Drosophila melanogaster: one gene and its partners. The protein of the gene in region 3 interacts with the protein of the main gene of each other region in a pairwise test. Each region holds a gene or a part of one and is shown on either strand. Other genes may lie near its edges.

Region 1 (5,159 bases), on a different chromosome or scaffold from region 3:
CACATGAATACACTTATTTATTATTATTAATTGATAAGTGGAAAAACAATGCATTCGTGTATTTTTTGTATTATTCTTTGCAAATGTCTAATGCACAAGATTATTATTACAATTAAAAATCTTCAACAGCAAATTTTTATTTTTTGTTTTTATGGTATATACAATTATTTAGAATTAACACATTTGTCATTTTTGAAATTGTATCTTTTAAAATTCTCGATATTTACTACATTTAAACACCCCACTGATGATACAGCAATAGTTATCTTAATTTCGAAATTTTCGTTAATCTTATATGAACTCAAATCATATATGTTCACAAGACAGAAGATAAGCATTGATGTATATCTTTTGAAAGGAATACGGTATTACCAAAGACACTAGAATAACAAGATGCGTAACGGCCATACATTGGTTTGCCCAAAGACCCTAGAATAACAAGATGCGTAACGCCATACGATTTTTTGGCACACGATTTTTTGGCCGTGGCTCTAGAGGTGGCTCCAGGCTCTCTCGAATTTTTGTTTGAGAGCGAGAGAGCGAAGAGCGCTACAGCGAACAGCTCTTTTCAACGCACAAAGTGGTAGGAGACATCTGTATGTGTGCACACGTATGCTCATGCATTGTAAATTTGACAAAATATGCCCTTCACCTCAGAAGTTTTTAGACTTTAAATCTATATTATTTTTGATCAATTGGCACCATGCGAAAAATTCTTGTTTTGCATTGCCTTAACGTTATTATTATTTGAAAATATATCAGAAATAGCCAAATCTATGTACATATTATCACAAAAATAAATTTCAAAAATGACTTTATATAAGAATATTTGTCATTAGAGTATTCATCTTGCGGCGTGTGAAAAATTAATAAGGCAATGATTGTTGAGTGCTTGTGTCCGCACTTCGTGCCTCAAGATATGAACAAAGCATTAGAATTATTCTAGTATATTACTTTGATATTACTTTTGCAATAAACAGTTATCATATTTAATTATTTAGTATATTTATTAAATCATTTGACTTAATATGATGTAACATTAACATTAAAAGTGTTTTAAAAAAATAATTTCTCTTTTAAAAAATTGTCAGATGAGAGACAAATTAGAATTAAACATAAATATAAATGTGTAAACGGTAGCTAATTCGAGCGGCGATTTTAACAAACAAATTTAAAAAGCTTTAAAATTATAATAGTCAGGGCGCGAATTTTTAAAAATTTTTTTATTTTATCATATTGCTAGGAAATTGGCAAAAACTACCCTAATATGTACCATGTAAATTCGTTTCTTCGATCAGAATTGATTTCGGCCCGAAAATCGTCTTCTAGCACAACACGCACACTTATACGCGTTCTCGTCTCTTGTTTTTACTCACACAAGCAATCAAATTATATTTTTAGATTTCTTACGCTCTCAGCGGGAGTGAGCGGAAAGAGAGTAATTTTGGCAGTCACCAAAGAAGTGGCTGCATAGTGCCAAACCAATGTATGGCCGTTACGCATCTTGTTATTCTAGTGTCTTTGGTTAAACTAAAGTATTTTTAAAGAAATACCGAACTACTTAAACGGAATTAAAAATTAAATTTCTTTGAAATTTATTGATCATCAACCGATGGTATATTATAAATAGACTTATATACTACAGGTATAACCTGTATATAGTATGATCTAAATCGTTGATATAATGAAATACTAACTACAGTCAAACCACGGACAATTGTTTATTTGTTACGTTCATTATGACTTCAATATTTCATATTTCATTATAAATTTCATTACAAATCTTTACATCTTTCTTGATGTGTGAAAATGTTATAAGGACTATTGAACTCTTTGGTTTGTGCTGCGATTTTGTGTCTTTTAAGCGAGAAGGTATAATTTGCCAGTCCATGTGCGGTCACACTGATGACAAATCGTTTTTATCAAGCGATATTGGGAACTAACTTTCGAGTTTGCATATGTGTATGCATATGTATATTTAATTAAGTTTTGGTTTTGTCTGATACACAAGATGATTATTACAATTAAAAATCTTCAACAGCAAACTTTTACTATTGAGTTTGCCCCGGAAAAAACGGTATGTGTACAAATAGTCAAATACTAGTATATTCACATGTATGGTATATACAATTATTGCAAATGCATATGTGTGCTTATACAGGTATTTCTTACAATTAATTTGTTGTACCATAATAAGCAGGGATTCTGATTACAAAAGGTTTTGGAACTGAAGAAGAAAATATTCGAGGAGCGCGGTCCAGAGTACGTCGCCGAAAAACAAAAACTGATCTACGCTGGCGTCATATTGACGGATGACCGCACCGTTGGTTCATACAACGTTGATGAAAAAAAGTTCATTGTGGTAATGTTGACACGCGATTCGTCTAGTTCAAATCGTAATCAACTTAGTGTAAAAGAAAGTAATAAATTGACTAGCACCGACGATTCAAAGCAATCTATGCCTTGCGAAGAAGCCAACCATACCAATTCGCCTAGTTCCACAAATACAGAAGATTCAGTTTTATCACGTGAAACCAGACCTTTATCTAGTGACGAATTGATTGGCGAGTTGGCCCAGGCTTCCTTACAATCGCGCGCTGAATCTAATTTGCTTATGGGTGACGAATACAACCAAACAGTCCTATCAATGGTGGAAATGGGTTACCCAAGAGAGCAGGTTGAACGTGCGATGGCTGCTAGTTATAACAACCCGGAAAGAGCCGTTGAATATCTCATTAATGGCATACCTGCAGAGGAAGGTACTTTTTACAATAGGCTGAATGAATCAACGAATCCTAGTCTAATCCCCTCCGGACCGCAACCTGCGTCGGCAACCTCTGCCGAGCGTTCAACAGAATCAAATTCAGGTAACTTGATGGGATTTCAATCAGCAGTCAATTTATGTATTCTTGTATGAAACGAAAATATATAATTTCTACCCAGAAGTACTAAATTTGCACACTTCAAAACATAGTGAAATTAATAAACCCGATTTGGCTCTCGCTCTTTAATGAAATTATACGGCCTTAACATAATTGCGTTAGTTTTCCTGGTCAAGAAATATTGTTGATCAAAACTTATGTTGCACATTCGTTAATAAATAATAAAAGAGTTCTCTTAGTACTGGAAATATATGCAGCTGTTAAAGATTCACTAAAATGTTTGTGAGCTCGTTGTCCCGCAGTATCATTTACATATATATGTCAACAGACACTAAAGGAGCGATAATTCACGAATTTTTGTCACTATTCTCTTCAAGGACAGGGCATCACTATATGTTTTTAGTTAATTTAATTATTATTTAATTATTTATATTTACGTTTCAGACCCCTTTGAATTTTTACGTAGCCAGCCACAGTTTCTTCAAATGCGATCTTTAATTTATCAAAACCCTCATCTTTTGCATGCAGTATTGCAGCAGGTAAGTACACTTATAATAATAATTACATGACACGTAAATGATAATTTTTTTTACGTATAGATTGGTCAGACAAACCCAGCCCTTTTACAACTTATTTCGGAGAACCAAGATGCGTTTCTCAATATGCTTAATCAACCGATTGACCGCGAATCGGAGTCAGGCGCCACCGTTCCTCCCGTTTCGAATGCGCGGATTCCTTCAACTTTGGACAATGTTGACCTCTTTTCTCCAGATTTAGAAGTAGCTACTTCAGCACAAAGATCAGCCGCGGGTACAAGTGCAGCACATCAAAGCGGTAGCGCAGCGGATAACGAAGACTTGGAACAACCTTTAGGAGTATCAACCATTCGTTTAAATCGCCAAGATAAGGACGCAATAGAACGGGTATATAGGAGTGAATAATTATATATGGACTGTCGAGTTACTTAATATATTCTTCTTCTAGCTAAAAGCTCTTGGATTCCCAGAGGCCCTTGTACTGCAAGCGTACTTCGCTTGTGAAAAGAACGAGGAACAAGCAGCTAATTTTTTGCTATCGTCTAGCTTCGATGATTAGGATGACAAAATGTAAGAAGTTATGCAAATAACACCGGAAGCGTTACATTTAAAGTTAGATGTTCTTAAATTAAATGTAAAATGTCGATCATAAAAATTCTTTTATATTCTTTTAATACCGTCGGCGTATTGTACTTGTTATTTGTTAAAAATTGCAGCCATGGGTAAAATAGAGTTACGATGTCATTTTTACTAAATATTTCACCACGACATTGTCTTCAGCATAAGACTGCAAATGTCTACAAATTTATCTGTGCCAATCCATGGTAGGGAGGCCTTGGATTAGGCCTTCACCTAATGGATGGCAAAGTATATTTCTAGTGTGTGTATTTCTAGTGTATATGCAATACACACATTAATTATTTTAAGGTCGTATTAAGCTAAAGAAGTCTTATGATTTATTCTTTCCTTATCTTGGTTGATTTATAAAATATTTTTTTGACTAGTGGGAGTCCACAATTAAGTCACTTAACACATAAAGTACTTTTTGTCGTCCTGGATGTTGGACATATGACTAAAATATATTAATCATTGTATTACATAAATTTCGTGTTTTTTTATTGTAAATAATGTCCGCAATTATGCCCTAATAAGCTGTGGCGTCTCTTTGGTGATTCCTTTCAGGATGAGTCGGAGAAATAAAACAATTTCATTAATTGCATGACATTCATAACAATTCTATAGTCGAGTGCCTCGACTATCAGATACCCTTTACTCACGAAAAAACTAATTAAAATTTTTATAAATATTTTTTATTGCTTATTTTTACAGGAATAAATGTTCTCCAGTTTTACAGTACTTAGATTATCATTAATTTACAAATATACAAAACTGTAGAACATTTGGACTTATGATACTTTTCTGCTTGCCAATTAATACGACAAATATAAAACTCGAACATTGTAATATGCATTATTAATGCAAAGAATTCTACACTTTAATATTAATAAATCTCTAATAGTTTCATGTATGGCTATGGTCCCCTCTATAATGTTGCTACAATTATAAATCTTTCCTGACTCAATGTAGATTCAAAGACACAAGAATTATTGGTAGATTTGGTAGAACGCAGGTAAGTGGAAAGAGAAGCACTCGTTAATACTTCTTTCCTTGACACGTTCCAGAACTTTAGACTGGGTCGAATTAACTTTATAAACATGGGCATACCCACCGGACCACAAAT
Region 2 (6,920 bases), about 16 Mb from region 3:
GCAGGGATTCCTGGTCTTCCACTCCTTCGGCGGCGGCACTGGCTCTGGATTTACGTCGCTGCTGATGGAGCGCCTGTCCGTGGACTATGGAAAGAAGTCAAAGCTGGAGTTCTCCATTTACCCAGCACCACAAGTATGTCATTTGCATATGGATATTATATCTATTGCTTGAGCATTTATAGAAGACCAATTAACATAATTAGTAAAAGACATGGGAAATTAGTCTTCGAAAGGCAATCTAATAATCGAACTTCCTGTTAGGTGTCCACAGCTGTGGTCGAGCCATACAACTCGATCTTAACCACCCACACAACGCTGGAGCACTCGGACTGTGCGTTTATGGTTGACAACGAGGCAATCTACGACATCTGCCGGCGCAACTTGGATATCGAGCGACCCACCTACATGAATCTCAATCGCCTAATTGGCCAGATCGTTTCCTCCATTACGGCCTCGTTGCGCTTCGATGGCGCCCTGAATGTGGATCTGACCGAGTTCCAGACCAATTTGGTGCCCTACCCACGCATTCATTTCCCACTGGCGACATACGCTCCCGTCATTTCCGTGGAGAAGGCCTACCATGAGCAACTGACCGTGGCCGAGATCACCAATGCCTGCTTCGAGCCGGCCAACCAGATGGTCAAGTGTGATCCGCGTCGTGGCAAGTACATGGCCTGCTGCATGCTCTACCGCGGTGATGTGGTGCCCAAGGATGTGAACGCAGCCATTGCCACCATCAAGACCAAGCGCTCTATCCAGTTCGTCGACTGGTGTCCCACGGGCTTCAAGGTGGGCATCAACTATCAGCCACCCACCGTTGTTCCTGGCGGAGATCTGGCCAAGGTGCAGCGCGCCGTCTGCATGCTGTCCAATACCACTGCCATTGCCGAGGCCTGGGCCCGTCTGGATCACAAGTTCGATCTGATGTACGCCAAGAGGGCCTTCGTCCACTGGTACGTGGGTGAGGGCATGGAGGAGGGCGAGTTCGCCGAGGCTCGCGAGGATCTCGCTGCCCTCGAGAAGGACTACGAGGAGGTAGGCATCGACTCCACCACCGAACTGGGGGAAGATGAGGAATACTAGAGAAAACGTTGTCAACAAATGATACAGCCATTACAACTTTATAAACATCACTTTCTTTCTACCAAATACCAATGCATAAAACAGTTTCGCAATAAAACAGTTTAACACAATTGCTTAAAATGGCTTATTTAAATGGGAAATATTCGTCTTTAGATGGAATTTAACTTTTGTGTTAATAAGAATAAAACTTTCTCATATAAGGAAATTGGTAAATCATATATTTATTGGAAATTACCCCTCCGTAAAAAACCCTACTTATCACTTTCTTATTGCTTTAAATATTAATATTAATTGGGCAAATTAATGTTGACTTTTAAAAGTTTTTAATTTTTGAAATCGTTACGTGTAATGGAGCCTTAGGATGCATTTTGAAACGCATGCGCAAAAATGTGTACACATATTTCTAGCAAATTCAGTAGTCGTAGACGTACCTTTTCAGGAGTAGCAGCGAAAAATATTCTTAAGATAGTTTTTAAGTTTAAATTAATTTTACATATATGTGAAAAGTTGTATTAAAAAATTCGCCCGTTATTAAATATAATATTGTTCTTTGGAAACCTCTGTGAATGTTATTTAATTGTAAATGTACATGCAAAATTGTATCCTCTTTTGTCTGCAAAATTGTATGTGCATGTATGTATTCGCAAAATTTAAGTCTAGTCTGTTAAGTTAATTAAGATATTGTTGAGTAGTCTAGGCAGACAACTTTATCTTAAAAGTCCCAGTTTAAACAGTTCTTATACAGAAATTGTATGATATGTATACATATGAAATATGAATATTTTATTTACCCATATATACCCCTTGGAATAATCAATGCCCCCAACGAATACAGACAATGCAAATCTACACAATACCAACAATATATTTATCTTTATTCGCCTTTACACAAAAAGCTTATGTATATCGAATATAATACTATTTTTTCAGGATCTTCGAATGTGATGAAAACCATACCTCTCTCTTCTCTTTTATATCTTTCTTCTTTTCCTATAAAACATTTAATACTTACATATTTCACCATTTACATTTATTCTTATTTTAGGTGGCTATATAATTTTTCATTACAGGAATTTGATTAAAACAATCGTAAGATGGTCCTATCTGCAAAACTCATATACTCTTCCATTTAAGTTCATCCTATAGCCAAAACGTCCGTCCGTTTTTATATCCGTTTGTCCGTCCGTTTGTATGTCCTTCCGTTTGTATGTCCGTTTGTCCGTCCGTTTGTCCGTCCGTTTGTCCGTCCGTTTGTCCGTCCGTTTGTCCGTCCGTTTGTCCGTCCGTTTGTATGTCCTTCCGTTTGTCCGACCGTTCCGTCTGTATGTTTCTTATGTTATGTATGTTGTATATGTTTCTTTTTAGCAAAATAAGATGTGTCTGGTTTCCTTGCCACCTATGCAATCCCCTTGTGAGATCTTAAACTTGTTATACGCCTAAATATGATAAATGCTTTCTATGAATAACCTTTATATTTACAGATTAACTGCACCGGATGACGTGGCATTTTATTTGTAACATATTTAAAATTAAATCAAACATTTAAAGAATGTTTAATTTAATTTACACTGAATTCATTTAGCACTGGGCCTTTAGTAGGGGTTAAATCTTATATGCGCCAAGTTGTTAAATATTCATAACTTTTGGGGAAAGTATCATCTCAATGATAGTGCGGGAAAATTAAGCTGAAATTAAATAGGGCGTAATAAATAGAAATCCTTAAACTATCACTCTGATTCGGAGTTTTACAGGAATGGCGGCATATGAGTAAAGATAGTTTTATTGAAATGACTCCTAATGACAGACGAAAAAGAGATTATTTCTGTGTATTTGCATATGCCCATCTCTTGGGTAAAGGATCAATGGTAATGATTATAAATTTCAGTTTTAAAAACATGCATCGGATACATGACGACGAGTATTCCGAGGATGCCAAGGAATCGGACTTTAAGAGTTCGATTCAGAAGGAGATATCAGTGAAGTCGAGACACCAAATTTCCATACCAGACATATGCTCAGATGCTGTTAAGAACAATTGTTTTCCGCCGACTGGCTTTCTCAATAACTCGATCACCTTTGCCTCACATGTAGTTAAGTGCAGCTCACCGGCCTCGAGCATCGATGAATCCTCAACGGCGGCCCAGCAGCACGAATCCAATCCACACATGCATATACAGGGTCAGCATATGATGGCTCCCGTTCCCGATCTGGGTTTCTACAATGTGCCCGAGTTCATATCCGAGCAGGAGAAGCTCATGTTCTCCGATGCAGAGAGATTCTTGCGGTCGAAGGATAATGAGGTGTGCAACAATGATTTCAGCTATATGCACGATGAGTTCGCCATGCGGAAGTACTATCATCCGTTATTTGCTCATGGCATATGCCGTTGGCCTGGTTGCGAAATGGATTTGGAAGACATCACATCGTTTGTCAAGTAGGTGGAGTACAATTAGAGGTATGAAATAATTATATAGGGTATGTTATCTAACTAGGCATCTGAATACGGAACATGGTTTGGACGATCGATCAACAGCACAGGCACGGGTTCAAATGCAAGTTGTCTCCCAGCTGGAATCCCACCTGCAAAAAGAACGAGATCGCTTGCAGGCAATGATGCATCACTTGTATTTGTCCAAGCAGCTTTTGTCTCCCACCAAAATCGACAGGAAGGTAAGTCCCTTTTTATGTGAGTAAGTATTGGTATAATGAAAAGTTATAAATATAAGGACGTGCCCGGAAGAGAGGGAAAGTTTTGCCGGAGTCCGCTTACCGTAAATAGCATAGGCCGACCCATCCGACAAACAAATTCACCGAGTCCTCTGAATCTTCCAATGGTTAATTCCACCAACTTGTGCTCGATCAAAAAGAGAAACCACGACAAAAATACATTTTCCATAAATGGGGGTAAGTTTGGGAAAAATTTACTATTACTGTATAAAAATAATAATGGTTTTTGGATATAGGATTACCCTATATGCTTGAAAGAGCAGGTCTTGATGTGCAACAGGGTAAGTAAATTATGTAGACTGATCGTCTTGATGACTATTCGTCTTGTGCTTCTGGAAGACATATAATAAGAATTTAAATTTGCAGAAATCCATCGAAACAGAGAGTTTTATAAGAATGCTGATGTACGACCGCCTTTTACTTATGCTTCCCTCATAAGACAGGTAATTTTAAAAACCAATTTCCTAATATAACATTAATTTATTTTTTTTATATATATTTTATTTATAGGCTATAATTGACTCCCCTGACAAGCAGTTAACCCTAAACGAAATCTACAACTGGTTCCAAAACACATTTTGCTACTTCCGGCGCAACGCAGCTACGTGGAAGGTAAAATGCCCCATATATGTAAATCTTCTTTCCTCCATATTATCTATATATTATGCAACATAACTTTAATTTGAGTATTTATGCTATATGATATGATATCTATGATCTGATATGACCATTTGTCCGTCCGTATAACTCTCGTTTGTCCGATTGGCGTTCCTAGCTTGTCCGCTGTATATATACTATATACTACCTTTTCCACATTGTCCACTACTTTGCCAATATTTAAGAGTATAATAGAGCTAAATACAAGTGATATATAACAAGGTAAGCTACACAGGTCAGATCCTGTTTTATTCCATTTCCTTTTTATATGTCTTAAAATAATCAAATTAAGTTTGGCCTATGCTAACTGATAATATATATCATTAGAACGCAGTCCGGCACAATCTGTCCCTTCATAAGTGCTTTATGCGGGTTGAGAATGTGAAAGGAGCAGTTTGGACTGTCGATGAGATTGAGTTTTACAAAAGACGACCGCAGCGCACTGCTGGCATTGGTAACAATCTAACCGGTGCTACCAATTCGCCGGACACTAACTATTTTGTAGCCATGAACATTGGGTATGTGGGTCTCAAATAGTTTAATTCTACTCACTTTGCTCCAAACTCCTTCCGTTTTGCTCTGTTAGTAAATATACATATGCCATTGCATGCATGCTCCTATATCGAAATGATATAATATGACATTATACGATCTTTTTACAGCGCAAATTGTAAACAGTGATTCTAATCTCTTAGTGGTAGAAACCCAAAATGATGTCCGTCTGCTCATCGATCTGTCTGTCTGTCTGTCTGGAATTTAGCTGATGAAGATTATCCAGGATTTCGCGTGTTATGAAAAATGAAAATAAGAAGACCGAAGACAAATGAACTAACCTTAATATCTCAATGAACTTTTTCTTCCTTTCACGATAATGCAATTTCCTGTTTCTGACTCTTGATGGGGCTCTTGTTTTGTCCAACCAATCATAAAGAATGCGATTCGTACGAACCTTTCCTTACACAAGTGCTTTGTACGTTATGAAGATGACTTTGGCTCGTTTTGGATGGTCGACGATAATGAGTTTGTCAAAAGGCGGCACTTGTCGAGAGGGAGACCCCGGAAATATGAACCGTCCTCCTCCCCAAATTCATGCCAATCCGGCAATGGTGTGCCCACTGATAAGAATCCCTGCGACAATTGTACGCAACATTGCACTAGTTTGCCACCGGGTGCTGATAATCCTCTAGATTCCAATAATCCAAATGATTTAGGCAGAATTGGTTGTCTTCCCTATTGCGGTAGTGATGGTTTAAGTAAAGCGTCCAAGGACTATAGCAATATGGACTCGGGTATGATCGAAAGTAACAGCCACTTGACAATCGATGAATATTCTACTAATATGTACGAGAGTAGTGCCAATGAGCACAATCGATAAATAATATATCATTAACTATACATATATTTAGATGCATTGTCGAGTAATCTGCGTTTGGTAAGAAGGTTCGGATTCGGAAATTATATCTGTACATACACATGGTTCTATGTATAATTTCCCAAATAGAAATGAAAAAATACTTTTAAAATAAATTTCACTAATGCTATAAAATAAACGAAAGAACTACGTTAAATTATTAAAGCAAAATTAATGTGTTTAAACTTGCTTTAATAACTCCACTTATAACACGATTTTAATATACGAGTACAACATATATGAATATTTTCACTTTTCAGCAAGGGAGAAAACATTTAAAAGCTATAGCTTGATAAAATTTTAACAAAACTGTTTTAAAAGTCACAATATGATTTTTTTTTAAGGAAACTATTTTCAGGTATACCTTCTGTTAAAAATCTGGACCCTTGAGAGCTTTAGATTTGGAAACTCCTTAGTAAACGTATATGCTTTTCTGCTGACTTATCTAATTTCCTTCTAATTTAAGATCATTAACGATACTCAGTGACCTAAATAAATTCCTCAAATATACAACAAAGTGAACAAACTGAATTTTATTTCTAGTTCCTAAGCAAACGGTTTACGCGACGTAAAAGCGGTTAAATCGGCTTCTCAAAAGTTTGTCAATCAAAGTTTTCTACCAATTCATTATTTTAAAGCGGTCTTTAGTATATTTTAGTATATTCTATTGGAGATTTTTTGGACTGCCACTATTTAAGGAAAAACAACCGATAAGAATGGACGCATTCGTGAACTTCTGTATCTTAAATTTAATAAAATATATACAGCCTAAGTACACATATTGTAGTCAATGTCAATTTAATTTGAAAGTAAAGTTTTTGTTTACCAATAAATTTGTTTGGAGAATGTATCGATACCGTCGAATTTTCCGGCAACCATCGATACAGTCGGGCGGCATCGGTTTTCGTCCCAGCTCTAGCCAGTACGGTCACTCTGAAAGTCTCTCAACGTTTTGTGACATGAAAATTCAACGAGGACACTGTGTACATGAATAGTTGAAAAATTAAAATGGTTTCCATGCAATTTGTTTTGCAACCGCTAC
Region 3 (4,478 bases):
TTTTCATTTGGCCACGTTGCATAAGTTTAATTTAGAGCTCAATTCCTTTAGGGGGTTTAACTTTAATTGCCCAAAAAGCAACTATATGGCCTTATTAAGCTGTTTGGCTTTTTATTTAAATACTCATTTTACTTTGAATAGACGCACCAATATCTTACCGACGGACCACGTCCACGTTTAAACTGTTTTGGCCAACTGAACTAGCGGAAGAACTTGCAGAGCCGCGACACTCGTAAGCCCATAAAAATGCAGCTGCAGGTTAGGGCTAGTGGGGGTGGTCTTAGGCCTTATTTTCCACTCGACTCAGTTTTACCCGGTTGCCGGATGGGGGTGATGCCTTGTTTTGGCCAGCTCAGTTGATTCTTGCTTTGCAGTCAATATAATATGCACTTATTAGTGACACCAATGGGCATTACTCAGCGAGAATCGGGATTGCCAAGGGCCAAATAGGTCAGTTTTATGCTCAATGTAAGCTGTTCACATAACATAAATAAGAATATGAAAGCCAGTTTTAAATTTTGAACATAGTTTAATTGTGATCCTAAAAATGAATTAAATGAATACATGTACGCCAGGTACGATAAGTTATAGTTAATTTGTCGAAACATTTGATCCAATTTTTTTTGGCTTTACATTATCAGAAATAATTTAGGTCATGCCAAAAGTAATATTTAAATAAGTATTAAGGCGATTTCTAGGAATGGGTTCCCCTTCAGTTTGAATGCTCCTTTATCTTCACTCCAGTGGCTTTACTGACCATCTCCGGCGCCTTGGTTGGCTCCCCTTCGATTTAATTTGCGGTTGGGCCGGCTCGTAGTTGCTCCACTTGGATACTTGAGGCCACAGTCATCGTCCTCGCTGCCGGTCGAGATGTCCGAGGAGAGCTGGAAGTCATCCACTTCGGTGTAGGTCTCATCCGTACTATCGTTGGGCGTTTCGATCTCCGTGTCGTCAACCTTTTTATTTTTCTGACTACCTGCGAGGGTCCTAGAGCTCATGGCTGCTGGCTGACAAAGTCCACCGTTTGAATTTTTCTTGGGTATCAAGATGTCCTCGAGACTGGGCAGTTCAGCCGACATCTGACCATTCATATCCTTCACCTGATTGCAGTAGCGCTGGATATTATCCAGGACTTCTTGCACGCCCACATCAGATGATTTTACAACTAAACTTTGCTCCGATGACGACTTTTGTGCAGCAAGAACTGGCTGCTGAGCTTTGCAGATGCTACGATAGGCACTGGAGTTCATTAGGGACTCGTTATGGTCTTTTTTGGCGCTAATAGGCATTTTGCTTTGATTCCTAATCACTTTTCCTGGTTGTTGTTTTAAACTATGCGACGGTTTCTGTGTCAGATTCTGACTGACTGAGGCCGCTGCTTCTAAGTTCGCCTTCGAAAGACTCAGCATTTCCTGAGTGGGCTTTCCATTCATCAGCGATTGATGCTGGTAAAACATTTTATCGTACTCGGATTTCATGCACAAGTACCGAAAGTGTCGCGAATTTTCCTCACCGAAGTAAATTACCTCTGCAGATGCCAAAAAATAGTTACATATTATAAATACCAAATAAACACTGAAAGTAAATAAACTCACTGCTAATGACTTGTTCCTGCAGCTTATCCAGGTTATCGTTTGTCTGCTTCAACTCGCCCGAGAACCTTTCGATTTTGTGGCTCAGATCGCGAAAGTTCTTTGCCAGAGCATCGGATATGGTGTTCTAAAGAAAGTGCATAGTGTATTAACTAATCAACTAAGGAACTTATGCGAAACTCACGCCAACGGCCGTTTTGACAGTCTGGCGGATCAGGTCAAAGAACTCCTCAGGATCTTCCTCCTTATCTTCATCGTCATCGGCGGTACTCACGTGCACCTTGCTCGCCGGAACAGGCTGTCGCCCACGCATCTGCTTCTGATGCGGATGCGGATGCTGATGCTGATGCTGATGCGGTTGCGAATGCTGGAGGCGCTGCTGTTGCTGATGCTTGAGGTGGTTGTGAGTAGTCATCTGCTGCTGCTGGTGCAGCTGGTGTTGCGGCGGATGCTGCATTGCTCCGGATTGCAACTGCATTTGCATTTGATGGGCATGAGAGTGCGGATTGTGCCGGCGCATATTTCCCATGTTTCCCTGCTGGGGCACCATTAGTTCCTTATCGGAGTAGTCGTCGTTGTCATCCATTGGATAGTCGTTCCTCTGGGTATTGCCCTTTTCGCGGTGCTTCATTCGGTATGTCTCCTTCGACTTGGACATGCCATAGCCATTAGGGTTTACCGTGCCTTCGGCCGGGCTAAAATGCGGCACCTTGTTCATCGGCGCCTGACGAGCACTGGCCTTATTGGCCATTTGGTTTCGCCTCGAGGGCATGGCGTTATATGGAGATGGCTGGACATGGCCGGGAATCATTTGCGATATTGATGGCTGCGCCATCGAACCGGGGGCATTTCGCAGATTGGCCGCCGTCAACGGCAGATTGGTGGTGATGTAGTAATCATTTTCGGTGACAAAACTGCGCTGAGTGCGAGCATCGACTTGTCGGGAGCTAATGGTTCCTCCACCGCCAGTTGCACCGCCTGGACCCGATCTCTCAGCCCTTGCTGTTTTCTTGGTCACACCTGCATGGGATATCGCTACCGACTTTACCGGATGCAAGGAATCCATTTTGGAACCATAGACCTCCTCGATTCCCTTGCGACGAATTGGGCGCACCATCTTCATCCAAAGGCTCTTTACTCACCGAAACAAACTTTCGTTGGCCTCGAGTTGCACCAATAAACGCAAAAGCACAATAATGTATAAACTGTATTTGATATATTTTACATCTATTTATGTTCTTTGGATGATTTAGCTAAAATGAATGAGGGATATAGAAAGATAGTGAATGTTATAACACCAGCCTACTGGATAGATAGATTGGATAAATATTACTCGTGTGAATAAACTGAAACATTAACGACATACATTTTCGTCGCATTTCGCATTTATCAAAATAATCAGAAATAATCGTTATTATGGTTATTTGTCAAATTTTGATTCACTTCCTTATACGAAGAGTATGAGTTGTACAATATATACATATTTACCACGGAATGATAGATCTCTGCACCTAAATCGCATTCATATTGATTACTCACTCCAGCGCTTCGTTTCTACCAAATTTATTTTCACACCTCAAACACCTCTTCATTATTCAAACCACAGGTGGTGAGGGAGTTTTCCCGTAAATTTGTTTACCTTTTGCCGCTCAACTAACCGCAAATGGCAATGACACAGAGCAAAGGTTCAATGTTTGCCCGCTTTGCCGGAAATATTTCTTCGGTTCGACGCCAAATCAAATGCTAATGAGCTGCATCTGATTGTGAGTGCGAAAGTGGTTTTGGATACCACTTGCTGTTCGCTTGGAAGTGGTTCATCGTTCAAGAAATTATTACAAATATTTATCCGATTATTTACCTTTGAACCTCCTCGGGCTGCCGTGTATCCAAGGCGAATGATTCGAATGCGTGGCATGGCCACGCTGGAGGAATCCTTAAGTAGGCAACTAGCTTTAAGGTCATGTCTGGACTGCTGAAAATAGACCGCTTAGCCTCAGGTTACAGACACTTAAGACATAAAGGGAATGCAAAGCGAAAGGGATTTAGAAAGGCGCTCAATAAAGTGCTGAAGGACCCTTAAAAATTGGGTCATCTGTCTGTGGGGACGGTGCCTTGAAACGGAAAACCCATGATGCCCATGCCAACTCCTTGTCTCATGTCCTCATTATGCAAATTGCGCATACGACGCGTGTGCTGCTGCCCACTGCAGGAGGCCTTCTCCCCTTTCCGCAAGCAAATCATTTTGTTGACAATCTGTTGCATGCGAATGCTATTAGGAACGAGATGATATCTGTGGGAATAATTTTCATTTAATGTACACCCTTTTCATTTTCTCTTCCCCTAAACGACCCCAAGAACAGCTCATTTAATTCGTTTTGTGTGTACCCTAGTCATAAATATAAATGAACCATGAACGGCCGACAACAGTTGACTATAATTTAAGATCCTGGCCTGCAGTTGAGCCTTGAATTTCCATCCTCTGCATGTGTGCGCATAAATATTGCAACATTCGAGGAAGCAACAAAGGTCAGACAGGCTTTATTTGTTGCAAATGCGCAGAGAAGCTGCCATTAAGCCTTTGAGTCCCATCTGAATGACGTTCATGTTGACATTGTCATGGTGATACAAAAAATAATCACCATTATTAGTTGTTCCGGCCAAACTGACTTGATTGGCCACTGATTCTATGCCATAGACTGTTTGGACTGATTATCAGCAAAATGCCAACTGACTTACAGAGCAAAACGTGAGCCATTCCAAAATTAATATAAGTCATTAGCATTATGCGGAACGATAAATTTTAATGGGACTCGGCATTAGAATTGCTTAAGGCGGAGATATTTCCAAGAAATTTATCACCCAAAAAAGTCGCCCCGCGGCGCAGAT
Region 4 (4,530 bases), on a different chromosome or scaffold from region 3:
GCTATGAAAAAATGTACACATATTTTTTGTAATTATAATTGTCCAACATAAAAATCTAACAACAATAAAGTGGGAATCTAAATCATAGTCGCTTAAGCATAGTCAAATTAACAAGTAATATGTAATATCGGTTAACTGGAACTTATGGAACTGGTCGTTTAGCACAGAATATATTGTTCGGTTATCGGTTATGAATGGTGTGTGGAGTTCTGTGTGTTTATGTGGGAACTGTGGTGGTGGGTGCTGTTGCTGGTATTTTGATCAACAAAATACGGTCCTAAAACGGGAGAATTACAAACTCGTTAATACAAACTCGTTAATAAATGTCACAGAACATTTAGTTAGATTAGCCGAATTTTGTCAGAAAGCGCTTACGGTTAGTTTCGGTTCGGATTAAAAGCCACCAAATTTGGATTGTTTATGTTTTTTGTGGTGTTAGTCACATGGGGATTTCCTCAGCCGAGGCGCAAACCATTAAGCCCAAAATCGAGCTTTACCTGCCGCAAGACAATTTCAAATTCAACGACAACTTCAAACAAAGGAACACCAAGAGAGCCTATGTTATGACTACGTTGTGGTTACGATAACGCATTACAATCTCTACGCCTACGTATCGGGCTCGTGTTATTTGAATACTTCAACAATCGGTTTGGTTTCTGGTTAGCCGTGCGTGTGGGTGACTGAGTTTCAGAATTTTGATATCTTATTATGATTTCGTTGGACTTAAGCAGTACTTGAGTTATGGGAGGCGCCACTGATCGCATTGAACAAAGCCATGCTATTGCGCTGGTTTATGCTGTCGGCATCGTCGCCGAGCGGCTGGAAGGACTCGTCGTCCAGCAACTCACTGAGCGCCTGGCACAGCTTCTCGTAGTTCTCCTTGAGCACATGATGGTACTCCTTCTGGTCAGCGCTGATGATCCGCTCGTTGAGGAACAGGGCCTTCTGACACACCACAATGAAGTCGCTGCAAGAAAGAGACCACAATTAATAAACGTAAAGCACTAGTCACTAGAAATGCATACCGAAAAACATCCTTGAGATCTCCGACGCGATCCATTGAGAAGTTGTTAACCACCTTTGCATCGAGAAAGGCATGAGCGTAGGCCAAAGGACCAGCATTTACAGTCACCGCCACACTTCCCTGCAGACGCAGCTGCAACTTCTTCACATCGGCCGGTGGGAGTATGATCTCCTCCAGCTCTGAAACCTTGGATTGCATTTCATCGATGGCCACCTCAATGGGGCTCAGTTCTATGATTTCACGGGATTTGACGGGTATACGTTTAAGAACATATGGGAAGGAGTATTGAGCTGCAATAATTGATGCTTTAATATGGTACAAATGAAATTAAAGACGGTTTTTACATACTTTTTATAACCGTCTTGCGTTTCCATTGTTCTTCTACGCTGCCACGGGCTGCACCCGATTTGGTGAACGGAGTCTCGTACATAAAAGTATCCACATCATGATTCTGCTCGAATTCATTTAGCCTTTGGTCTAGCTCGTCCTTGGAGAAGAAAGGAATCACATGGGTGACCTGTATGTAGGCAAGTTTGGCATCTAGTTCGTCTACTTTAACCTGAAAAAATGAGTTGTAAAATTTTATAATACTTAATTGTTTGTCTTAAAAAATCGTCTATAAATAATAATAAATAATAATATAATGCAATAATAATGCAATCAATGGTGGACATACACTAGTAACTTCGAGATCAAGTCGTCCCTCCAGCAAATATCAGAATGAAGTTTGTTTCAGAATACTTCCCACCTTCAACAGATTTGGTTCAAATAGCTCAGCAACTTTACTAGGTACTAGTAAATTGTTTGTTATTTTTATACAACTACCACAATCCGCACACTAGAACCGCAAAAATATCCAAAATTTTGTAGAGATCGAGTTCCTTCTTTTGGCACAAACCATAAGTTCATCAGATTGTCGGACATACGGTAACTATTTCACAATACATTGTCCGTTCCCTTATGGAGCAGCTCTTTGAGTTCCCGGCTCGTGCGATGGGTCTGGGATTGGTCCAGATGCCGCAGATGCAGATACCAATCCCATGTAGGAGGGAGTACTCGCTAAATCCGAACGCAGTGGAATTCGTGCCATCTTTTCGCCAGAAATCCGAGCCTCCAAGTCCATCGACCAAAACGGAGGCGACCTCAACTACAACATTGCTGCGTCCCGAGGTCGTTGGTGATGCCGTGAATCGTGTTGAAAATGGGATTTTTCTCGAGCGCCAGATCTTTGACACCCTAAGTCAACTGGGAGACGAGCAAATGCCTCTGGAAGAGATCGCGGTTGGTGTATTACCAGGAGGACAAGGTCTTAGTATGACTTTCACCACCAAAGAGCACGATCAGATGCAGCCTTTGGACCGAAATACTCTAGTAAACCACAGTAAACAGTGCCTCCAGCTGGCTGTGGGCGATCAGGCGAAGTTGGCGAACAGACCTGAGACCGTTCTAATTGCCCAATTCCTCATCCGGGTCAACGATCTTTTGAACGAGAAGTATGAATACGGTGGCGATGGATCCGTGTGTCCCAGATGCACCCTGTGCTCAAATCGCAGCTATACGGAGCTGGAAATCGAAAACCAAATCGAGTGCATAAAGGCTTTTGAGAAATTTTTCACCTTTACGGAATCAACTCGCTACCAAGACATAGTTTCTCACAAAGCCTTTAAGGAGCTGTGCCACAGGCTGGGTTTGATCGTAAGCCGAGATCAGATCCAGGTTAACCGCCCCTCCACAGTGGTCCCTCCACCCACGGCACAGTCATCTAGTATAACCCTTTGCATGTCCAAGAACGAAATGGAATCTAATGTAGAGGCCAAGGCTTATAGAGGAGATGACGAATCCAGTTTCAACGGTTGTGAACTGACCGCGAATGGAGGTCAACATCCATCTATTTCTAATGAATATTTGAGGGGAAAGCTTTACAGGTGGGTGGGTCTTAAGTTAAGTGAAGGGAATACAACAATTATTGTGATTTATATTTTTAGATACGAAGACTCTCAGGGATGCCAGTTGGTCAACGAACTGAGTGAAAATCAACAAAAAATTGAAGCTATGGAGGTAGATGAGTTCGAGTTGGATTTACCATCTACCACGAAGCCCAAGACCGTGGTAACTACTAGTGTGCCGACAACCTTTCCTCGGGTGTACAAAACAGCCAAAGCCAAATGCTCGGCTCGTGGGGCAGGATCTAGTGGTCAACAGAGTGGCTACAATAACAGGGCAGTCCGTTCAATGATGCAGCCGTCAAAGGGCTCACCCACGACTTCACATTTTCGGACTATTGCAGTTGGTTGCCACCACCAAGCTGGATCGGCTGCCCCTCGAAAGCTGCAAATGGATTCGTGCCCAACCGGGGCTGCCCGCAAGCAAAATAGGTTGACTGAAGCAAAATCAAAAATTTACCAGCCATCTGGCAGTTCGCAACGACTTTCAACAGGTCGCGATACAAAACTAGGAAAATCTGGTACAAACGTACAAAAACCCAAGTTAAATCATATGTGAGTTAAAATTTGTGATCATTAAATGCTTACAGATCTACTTCAAACTACCTTGAAAGAAGAACTTTTAATAGTCTATTATTATGTGCCTGTAAACTGTCTATTTTATATTTTCTATTCCTTTATATCTTTAGTTGCAAGTCAGGAAAAATGTCTACGGCCAGCAGGATTGCCATGTCTAATCCAAAGCAAACCAATGGCAACCCACAGCGAATGATGCCAAGAAGCACAAACGCCTCAATGATGCGACAGTCCGAGGTCAAGCGGGTAAACCCTCTCGCAACTCCAATTTCACAAATAATATAATATATATATATACTCCATTGTAGCGCATGAGTTTGATGCGCGCCGACAGTGATTCGGATCTGCTATACAACGAATATCTCTTCAAGTGATTTGCAATAAGTTATATGGATTTGTTGCTTCCCTTTCAAAAATTAGTTTTTCCAATCCAAAAATACCTAGGTTATGTTAAAATTAAAATTGAAACCAAGACTGGGAAAAATTTAAAGAAAGTGTAATTTTTATACTTACCGGTGATGAGTCCATGATCATCTTAACTACATCGGCTCCAAACTTTTCTTTGTATTGTTTGGCAAGTCGCTCAGAGATTTCGCTGAGTGATGTTAGCTTGGGCTCCTTGTACACAAACTCGATGGCATGATCTTCTTCAAAGTACATCTAAAAATAGCATTAAATTTAATATTAATTTTAAGGGTATTCTGTAGATTACTCACTAATCCATAAAATACAACACGGTAAAAGCGACCCAACATTCTCTTTCCTGACCGATTCACTTCAACTATTTTATTATAGGCTTGCGTGAGATGCTCATAGCAGTGTGCCAGGTCCTGGTAACTACGATCTCTTTCGTACATGGGCAGGATGAGTTTGTAGAGCTCTCCAAGGCACTCAAATCTTTCAGCGCGATCCAAGAAGTCAGCACATAGCTTAAGCTGCTCCAGTAGCATTTGTTCGGTGTACTGGGAATCCTGAGCACCGGCATCC

Evidence for each region.
Region 1: the proteins of CG14540 (region 3) and Rad23 interact in a two-hybrid assay, tested with the Drosophila melanogaster proteins (one large-scale study listed by BioGRID).
Region 2: the proteins of CG14540 (region 3) and FoxP interact in a two-hybrid assay, tested with the Drosophila melanogaster proteins (one large-scale study listed by BioGRID).
Region 4: the proteins of CG14540 (region 3) and CG6441 interact in a two-hybrid assay, tested with the Drosophila melanogaster proteins (one large-scale study listed by BioGRID).

What each region holds. Positions count from the first base shown.
Region 1 is NC_004353.4:306,213-311,371, forward strand, and holds Rad23 (Rad23), read left to right. Parts: upstream 1-1,880; 5' UTR 1,881-2,011; coding exon 2,012-2,077; intron 2,078-2,200; exon of another isoform or gene 2,201-2,218; coding exon 2,219-2,867; intron 2,868-3,326; coding exon 3,327-3,421; intron 3,422-3,481; coding exon 3,482-3,805; intron 3,806-3,866; coding exon 3,867-3,977; 3' UTR 3,978-4,610; downstream 4,611-5,159.
Region 2 is NT_033777.3:9,725,492-9,732,411, reverse strand, and holds FoxP (forkhead box P), read left to right. Parts: upstream 1-1,539; 5' UTR 1,540-2,978; coding exon 2,979-3,517; intron 3,518-3,575; coding exon 3,576-3,753; intron 3,754-3,809; coding exon 3,810-3,987; intron 3,988-4,046; coding exon 4,047-4,091; intron 4,092-4,176; coding exon 4,177-4,253; intron 4,254-4,320; coding exon 4,321-4,422; coding exon of another isoform or gene 4,423-4,485; exon of another isoform or gene 4,486-4,794; coding exon of another isoform or gene 4,795-5,004; exon of another isoform or gene 5,005-5,261; intron 5,262-5,398; coding exon 5,399-5,842; 3' UTR 5,843-6,392; downstream 6,393-6,920. Other genes in the region: alphaTub85E (alpha-Tubulin at 85E), read left to right, coding at 1-133, 262-1,083; hyd (hyperplastic discs), read left to right, coding at 6,887-6,920.
Region 3 is NT_033777.3:25,957,713-25,962,190, reverse strand, and holds CG14540 (uncharacterized protein), read right to left. Parts: upstream 2,913-4,478; 5' UTR 2,716-2,912; coding exon 1,777-2,715; intron 1,720-1,776; coding exon 1,596-1,719; intron 1,529-1,595; coding exon 750-1,528; 3' UTR 505-749; downstream 1-504.
Region 4 is NT_033779.5:7,472,923-7,477,452, forward strand, and holds CG6441 (uncharacterized protein), read left to right. Parts: upstream 1-1,781; 5' UTR 1,782-1,984; coding exon 1,985-2,949; intron 2,950-3,009; coding exon 3,010-3,522; coding exon of another isoform or gene 3,523-3,526; exon of another isoform or gene 3,527-3,571; intron 3,572-3,656; coding exon 3,657-3,789; intron 3,790-3,851; coding exon 3,852-3,917; 3' UTR 3,918-4,030; downstream 4,031-4,530. Other genes in the region: Ziz (zizimin), read right to left, coding at 189-277, 735-967, 1,026-1,314, 1,373-1,583, 4,057-4,203, 4,260-4,530.